Linked DNA regions of Oryctolagus cuniculus. The protein of the gene in region 2 interacts with the protein of the main gene of each other region in a pairwise test. Links are inferred from orthologs where the notes say so. Each region holds a gene or a part of one and is shown on either strand. Other genes may lie near its edges.

What was found. The genes of interacting proteins can lie anywhere in the genome.
Region 1: the proteins of NTAQ1 (region 2) and ASL interact in binary tests that used the Homo sapiens proteins (3 or more experiments, as listed by UniProt). The two-hybrid records come from large-scale screens. The link is inferred for Oryctolagus cuniculus from reciprocal best matches to the Homo sapiens genes NTAQ1 and ASL.

What each region holds. Positions count from the first base shown.
Region 1 is NC_091450.1:66,174,352-66,178,385, forward strand, and holds the start of ASL (argininosuccinate lyase), read right to left. Parts: upstream 2,804-4,034; 5' UTR 2,701-2,803; intron 2,504-2,700; 5' UTR 2,462-2,503; coding exon 2,450-2,461; intron 1-2,449.
Region 2 is NC_091437.1:149,130,729-149,134,825, forward strand, and holds the start of NTAQ1 (protein N-terminal glutamine amidohydrolase), read left to right. Parts: upstream 1-1,294; 5' UTR 1,295-1,418; coding exon 1,419-1,510; intron 1,511-4,097. Other genes in the region: ATAD2 (ATPase family AAA domain-containing protein 2), read right to left, coding at 195-307, 577-617. UniProt on the Homo sapiens protein: Mediates the side-chain deamidation of N-terminal glutamine residues to glutamate, an important step in N-end rule pathway of protein degradation.

The sequences.
Region 1 (4,034 bases), on a different chromosome or scaffold from region 2:
GATTCTGGCTTCAGATCAGCTCAGCTCTGGCTGTTGCGGCCAACTGGGGAGTGAACCAGCGGATGGAAGACCTCTCTCTCTGCCTCTGCTCTCTCTGTGTAACTCTGAATTTCAAGTAAAATCAATAAATCTTTTTCTTTTAAAAAAAAAGAGAGAGACAATCACAATCCTCTCTGATAGGTCTGTTGTTGAACATTCAATCAGATAACGCTGGCAGAGTGCATGCCTCTGAGAGTACCTCAACAAGTTCACAAAAATGGAATAAAAAGATACATTTTGGTGTAAAAAAAAAAAAAACAACAAACTTTGAGATCCAGGCAGTTGCTTTCATACTATGTATTTTCAAAGAACTTTTTGAAGATCCTCTATATGCATGGATTTCAATTGGGTTTGCACCAAAATCAATTAATCTAATCTCGTTTTTCCACGGGTCTTTTGGAAGCGACCGGGTTACACTTCACCTGCACTCAGCTGGGGACTCAGTAATGGTAGCCAGTACTGAGTGAGGGCCAGGGTGGATTCTAGTGGCACCTCTGGGCCTCCACAGTGCTGTGAGCTGAACCCCCGCCCCCATATCCCTGAGTCCAACAGCCTGTTGCCAATGGACTCTGCCCTGCAGAGAGAGCCTCTGCCTCCCTCAGCCTTTTAAACTGGGCCCACCCCTGACACCGCAGCTGCTCTGTCAAGCCTTGATCTCCAGCAAAGCATCGTGTGGGACCTGGGTCTGGCCGCTGGAGGCAGAAGGCCAGGCCAGTCAATCACAATTGGGAGTGCCAGCAGGCTCCTCAGCCAGCAACCAGGCACCGCCTTGCCTAGCAGGCTCCTGGGGCTCCCGTGCCTGAGTTGTTCATAATAACAACAACTACTACTTAATGAGTGGGCTGCAGCCAAACCAATTAGCACCAACCCACAGGCTGGCCTGGGGCAAGCTGAGGTCACTGAGGGCAGCCTCTGCACTCTAAGACTCAGCTGCCCCCTCACTGGTAGCCTTAAAAGGATCCCAGGAGGAGGTTGGAGTGAGGTGCTGGGGAGACAGCATTGCCAGGAGTCATCCGGTCCAGAAAGATCTCTCTGGGGCAAGGGTACTGAGTTGAGCTGAGTTGAATGAACAAGGGAAGCATCAGTCCTGTTGCTGCTTATTGCCAGCATTTTATTGAGTATTTCTTGGCCCTGTGCTAGAGATGCTACATATGCCACAAGGCCACTTGGAAAAATTCGTGGCAAAATGGAATTAAAAGGTAAGTTTATTTTGATGTGCACATGGTTAAATCCATACATAGTTTCTTCATGGGATGCATTTTTCCCATGAGCTTTGTGAAGACTCTCCCAGGCACGGGTTTCAATACCTTCCACACCAAATAAACTTATCTTTGATTCCATGTCCCACGAACTCTTTGACGCACTCCTGTGTTGCATCCTCCTGGGGGGTGGGCGCCACAACTTCCTCTTTACAAATGAAGAAAGAGGAGAGCCGCAGTGACTTTGGGACAGACACCAGGTCTGTTTGGCTCCAAAGTCCAGGCCCTGCCCCAAGCCCTGCACCATGAAACAGGCGCTGGCAGGGGAGGCCTTCTTACCCTGTTTATTCAGATGCACGCAGAGAGAGGAAGTGATTTGTCAGCTAATTAATAGGGGCCAGAAGGGACTGAAACCAGACCTCCTGCTTCACAAGTCCAAGTTCCCTTCCTCAGCCTCAGGCAGACCGACCCTTCTACCCGAGGGTTCAAAGCAATGACCTCATGATCCGGCACCTTACAGAGGGAGGCAGACTACTATTATTATTCCCATTTGCCAGATAAATCAACTGAGGTCCAAGGAAGGCAGCATGTGCCCCAGACTCCTGCCACTCAGTGGTCCGGGTGAGAAGCCAGGAGCCCTGGCCTCTAAGGAGGAGAGGTCAGCGGGACAGGTAAGAACCAGGCCCTGAGACCACTGGGGCCACCAGGGCCTCAGCAGGGGTCAGGGGAGTCCCTTACCTCCTGGCTCCTTGCATATGCCAGAGTCAGGGACAAGGGCACTTTAAGGGCTGGGCCTTTTTCTATGCACGGGGACGGCTGCTGTGGCAGTGCAGGGTGGGGACTGACAGAACAAGGGGAAGAAGAAACGAAGAGGCAGAGGGGACTGCCTGAGTGGGCAGCATCTTTCCCGGCCTGCCTGGCAGCCCTGTAGGCTCCGCTCTGGCTCACTGTCCCCCAGCAGTGTGGCTTGGTGGGTTTGCCACACAAGCCACTTGGGGGCGCCAGGAGAGAGCGAGGGCAGACGGTGATGGGGTTACCGGCGAGCGCCGGTTTCGGGCTGCGCCGGGTTCCGGCAGGTGCGCCCAGGCCAGCAGGCGGCAGGTCTGGCGCGCGGAGCTCCCGTGCGCAGTTCACTGCCCTGGCTGGCTCCCAGGGGCCCCGCGCCCCGAGTCTGCAGGTTCGGAGGCTCAGCGACCCCGAGTCCCACTCACCTCCGATGCCATGTTGGGCGGTTCCTCCTCGTTCAGGAGCCTCGGCCTCTGGGTCTGGAAGAGAAGGGACTTGCTCAGCACGCAGAGTCCCCCCACCTCACCTCAGGCGCGGCCGGCCCCTGGCTCCGGGCACTGCCCTGGACACAGCGCAGCTCCCGGGAGGGCGGATGTGGGCAGCGCCCTGCGCGCGCCACGGGCCTCCGCTCCCGCAAGTCCCGCCTGTCCCGCCCGGGCGGCCGCCGCGCACTCACCGTCGGCTGGCCACGCAGTCCTCTCCAGCCAGCAGCCCCGCGGGGCTTTTCTGGACCTGGTGGCGTCAGCGGTCGCCCGGCCCTGTTCCGCCCCCTGGCGGCGACCGCGCCAATCCGAGGTGGCCGGACGAGATGGGCGTTGCCTCCGTCCGCCAACCCAGGCTGCGGGCGGGGCCATCTCCGGCTGGGCTTCAGGACGAGTGGCCCCGGAGAAAAGTCGGGGTGGTCAGGGCGGCGCTGTGGAGCAGGGAGGTCAAAGCCGCGACCTACACCTGTTATCCCACATGGGTGGCGGTTTGAGTCCTGGCTGCTCCACTTCCGATCCACCTCCCTAATGCTCCTGGGATAGCAGTGGAGGATGGCCCAAGTCCTTGGGCCCCTGCACCCACAGGGGAGACCCTGAGGAAGCTCCTGGCTCCCGGTCATTTGGGTTAACGCCCTGGCCTGAAGCGCCGGCATCCCATACTGGCTTCGGCTCGAGACCTGGCTGCTCCACTTCCGATCCAGCTCTCTGCTATGGCCTGGGAAAGCAGTAGAAGATGGCCCAAGGCCTTGGGCCCCTGCACCCACGTGGGAGACCTGGAAGAAGTTCTTGGCTCCTGGCTTCCGATCGGCGCAGCTCTGGTCGTTGGGGCCAACTGAACTGGGGAGTGAACCAGCAGATGGAAGACCTCTCTCTCTCTCTGCCTTTCCTCTCTCGGTGTAACTCTTTCAAATAAATAAATACATCTTTAAAAAAGAAAAAGAAAAGAAACGAAAGAAAAGAAATAAAGTGAGGGTGGTGCCTTGGTGGCTTCTCGATCCTCTGGGTCTGGAAGAGAAGAAGGGATTTGCTCAGGGACAGCTCAGACTCTAGACTTTAGATGATCTGGTTCACTCCCCAAATGGCTGCATGGCTAGTGGTGGGCCAGGCCAAAGCCAGGAGCCAGGAACACCATCTGGGTCTTCCACATGGGTGGCAGGGACCCAAGGACTTGGGCCATCATCTGCCGTCTTCCCAGGCACATTAGCAAGGAGCAGGATCAGAAGGAGAGAAGCCAGAATTGGAACTGTTGCTCCAATGTGGGATGCCAGAATCACAGGTGTCAGCTTAGCCTGCCTCGCCACAATGCATGCCCCGCAAAATTTATTTTTCAGGAAGATAAATACAGTGATAGTGCTGAGAGTAGAATAGGGGACAGAAGAGAGCAAAGGCTGAGATGCTTTGTGGATTGAAGGTTTTCATGCCTTAGTCAACTCAAGAGTGGAATTACTTGGAATTCCCAAATAATTACATGTGCCAGGAGGGTGAGTGTATCAGAGGGCCTGAGTCCTATCCAGGTTCCCACTAATGC
Region 2 (4,097 bases):
CAGGCCACCCTGGAAAGGATAGGCAGGCGGGTCACCAGAACCAGCAGTCTGGGGACACACAGAAGGCCTTCGGTGTGCTGGGGGTGGGGAGGAGGGGACCCTGCTGTGTGACTGCTGGCCACTGGGGACAAAGGCTCTGGCTTGAGGGGCTGAAGGAGGAGTATGGCCGGCTGAAAAGGTCACAGAGCACGCACCTTCTGGGCCTGAGGCAGGGCAGACTGCACTGGACGTGACCACACCCGTGGCTGGAATGGAGCCCAGAAACTCCTGGGAGCCTCTTCCTCCCGCAATGGCCCTCCAGCTCTCTCTAAAGGGGAATTCTGTCGGTTGGTTAGTGTTCAGACCCCAGAGGTAACAAATCCAAATCGGACACAAAAGCGCAAAAGTGTTTAAGGGCTTTGGGACACAGATCAGAGAATCTGCCGCGGACGGCCCTGGCCAACCTAACCATTTCAGTTGGATAATGGTAGGATTCTGATCAGCTGTCCCAGTATAGGTCTGTTGCAAACACAGAGTGTAAAGTCTAAGTCCTTGAAAGCACACATCCCAGAACCATTCCTTCACCAGAGTTCTCACCGTTTGGCGGCTTTCCTTCCAGACTGCCAGCAAATAAACATGGTTAACACAGAAAGATGATTTTGCAACTTATTTTCTGACTGTATCCAGGGACCAATATATCCTTCCCAGCCAATACATACAGCCCTCCTAATTAAAAAAAAAATGCTACATTTGGGGTGTGATTCCTTCCTAAAACCGTCCTCGCGACGGTCCTACTTGGAATTTACCCTCCACCGCTACCTCTCCCCCGGGCTCCAAACTACAGCGCCCATTTTGACACACAAAGCCTTTCTAATGGCAGTCCATCTGGTTCCTCCACAGCCCAGCGGGCAACGCCAGCCCAGCCACTCAGGGCCCCGGGGTTCACCAACTCCAGACTCTCCCCTAACTCCTCCCTCAGGCCGCTCGCCGCGGACCCTCTCGCCCAGGATTCTCGTCGTCCCCGCCTCACCCCGCACGCCGACCACGCCCCAGAGCCCGCCCCCCGGAAGCCTGGGCGCCAGCTCTTCCCGCCCCCACTCCCCTCCCCACCGTCTCCGCCTACCCGGAACCACGCAGCCGTCTGCGACCCGGGTCCGCCCACTTCTCCCTGGCTCCACCCTCTCGAAAATCCAGCGTCGTCCTCCCCCGAGCTCCGCCCACTCAGTCCGGACCTTCGCGCGCTGGCAACTTGAGCCGCTTGCCCCGCCCAGGCTCCGCCCACCCCGCCCAGGCTCCGCCACCCGGAAACTGCCCTGGCCGCCTCAGGCTCCACCTACTCCGCTCCGGGAGCGGGCGCTGTGGGCTGCGCGCCGGCTGCTTGCAGCGATTGGCCCACTCGGGCCGCCTCCTGCCCGGGCCGCGGCCCAAGCTAGCCCGCCATGGAGGCGGGGGACTGCCCTGCCGCCGCCGCCGCCTGCTACCAGCCGGCCGGCCCTCCGCGGGACGCCTGTGTCTACAGCAGCTGCTACTGGTGAGGGGGCGCGGACGCAACCCCCGGAACCCCGGAGCGGCGCGGCCCCGCCTCGTTCCGGCCCCTCTCCGGCGGGGTTCGCTGGTTTGCGGGAGGAGGGAGCGTGAATGGCAGGCTTGGTCTCTGGAGTAGAGCTGCGGAGTGCGAAAGGCCAGGCTCGCTGCCTCTGCCCGGCGCCTCTCACCGGACAGGCGTGGCGGAGCTCAGTGCCTGGCGCAGACGCGGGGGGCTGCAGCTCAGAGCTCTGGAAGTTACTCTGCTGACGCCTGCGCGCTGCGGGGCCTAACTTTGGAAAATGGTCGCGGTACAGAGAGTTCGAGGGATTTCTTCTTGAGGTCCTCCAGCTGACAGCCGCTGGGAGTCCGGCTCAGGCTCCTCCGGCGCCGGAACCCACGGTCTTGTTACCGCTCAGCTGTCATTACAGTTAACGTCGGTGACGTGTGCACGGCACCCTGCGTGGTTTTGGGAACAAGCACAGGAACCCCCAGGAGGAGGGCGCTCTAGTTTATCCCCAGACGGAAGAAGCGCAGAGCGGGGCAGGTCATTTGCCTAAAGGGGAATGCGGGTGTCCTGGCGGAGGCTGGCTGTGGGCTCCGGGCACTGCGCCCCGGCCGCCTCTGCAGCTGCAGCACCACCCGCCCGCCCTGTTCATCTCTCACCTTTCTCCCCCTACCCCCCAACCCCGTCTTCCAGTTGCTGACCCTCAGGACCCTCTAAACTACTCCCTAGCCCCTAGCTGGTCGTCTGACTGTTGCTACTGACGGCTTGCCTTTTGTTCCACTCCGGCTGCGTGTCAGGCCCGGTGGCAAGAGCTTCCGTCCATCCCTAGGAAATAGGTTCTACGATTACCATTAGCCCCCCTTTGCTGGTGAGACTGAGCCATCGGGACACTGTTTGCAAGCGGTGGTGGTGCAGCTGGAGCCGCCTGTGTGGTGCTGGAGCCCGCGCGTCTTACCCGCTGCACTCTGTTTCTTCCCTGCCGCTCCTAGATCTCTGTGTTCTCATCCCTACCGTGCATGCATTGCTCCATTCATTCATTCAGTAAACGTTTACTGGGCCTTGGAGTGCGTGATGCATGAATCCAGGCACAGAGGACATAGCAGTGAACAGACTTAAATCCTCCGGTGAGATCTCGTGATTCTTACGTTTCGATGGAGGGAGAACAGTTGAAAACAAGTAAACCATGTTTGCATGGTATTAGAAAAATAAGACAAGGTAGGGGGTGATGATTTATGCTGTCTTATATTAGGATATTTAGGGACATTGCCCATAAAGTGGTTTGAACAGAGGTCTGAAGAAACAGAGGGTAGGAGCTTTGTGGGTACAGGACAAAGTTGATCTCAGACAGAACAGCAGGCGGAAATGTACCCAGAAGGAAGTGTGCTGTGAGCGTTCTGGGACTGTCAAGAAGGCTGGTGCAGATCAGTGTCTCTTTTTAAAAATTTTTTTGGTTAACTTGTAACACATGTTCATTGGTATGGGGTACCATGTAGTATTTTTTTAAGATTTAATTTTTAAATTTTTATTGATTTTTTAAAAGATTTTATTTATTTCTTTGAGAGGTAGAGTTACAGAGAGAAGGAGGGAGAGACAGAGCAAATGGTCTTCCGTCCACTGGTTCACTCCCCAAATGGCTGCAATAGCTGGAGCTGGGCCGATCCAAAGCCAGGAGCCAGGAGCTTCTTTCAGGGCTCCCACGTGAGTGCAGTGGCCCAAGCAGCTGGGCCATCTTCTGCTTTCCCAGGCCATAGTGTAGTCTCATAGTGTCAGGCAGTAGCTTTACCCACTAAGCCACAGTGCTAGCTCCTACACTTCTTTTTTTTTTTTTTTTTAAACTTATTTATTACTTATTAGAAAGGTAGAGTTACAGAGAGGAAGGTCTTCATCTGCTGGTTCACTCTCCAAATGGATGCAGAGGCCAGGGCTGGGCCATGAGACTGGAGCTTCCCCTGGGTCTCCCATATAAGTGCAGGGGCCCAAGCACTTGGGCCGTCTTCCGCTGCTTTCTCAGGCACATCAGCTGGGAGCTGGATCAGAAGAGGAGTAGCTGGGACTAGAACCGGAGTCCATATGGGATGCTGGTGCCACAGGTGGAGGCTTAGCCCACTGCACCCAGCGCCAGCCCATTAGATCAATGTGTCTTTAATAGATCATTTCCTTGAGTTCCTTTAGCCAGAGGCCTGGCCCTTCTCGGCTGTCATGGAGGCTATTCTAGTTGCTTCCTACCAGGCCTTTCAGGCAGACCTCCCCTACCTCAAGTCTTTAACCTTGCTTGGCTCCAGAACCTGCAGATGGGAGGGTGCCACCTCATAAGGCTTGAGTGAGTAAGCAGCATGGTTGGAGAGTACGAGGGCTGGTCTGTTGATTACATTTCAAGGAAGGCAGGCATGGACAATAAAGTGCATCTCCTGAACATAGCAAGCTCTCCAGGGTCTGGTCACTGTTCTTCCAGCCTCATGTTGAACCTGCCATCTGAGCTGTGCTCCAGGGTCCCTCCTTAATATTGGCTCTGTTGAGATTTGGGGCATGATAATTCTTGGCTGTGGGGGCTCTCCTGGGTATTGCAGGATGTGTAGCAGCATCCCTG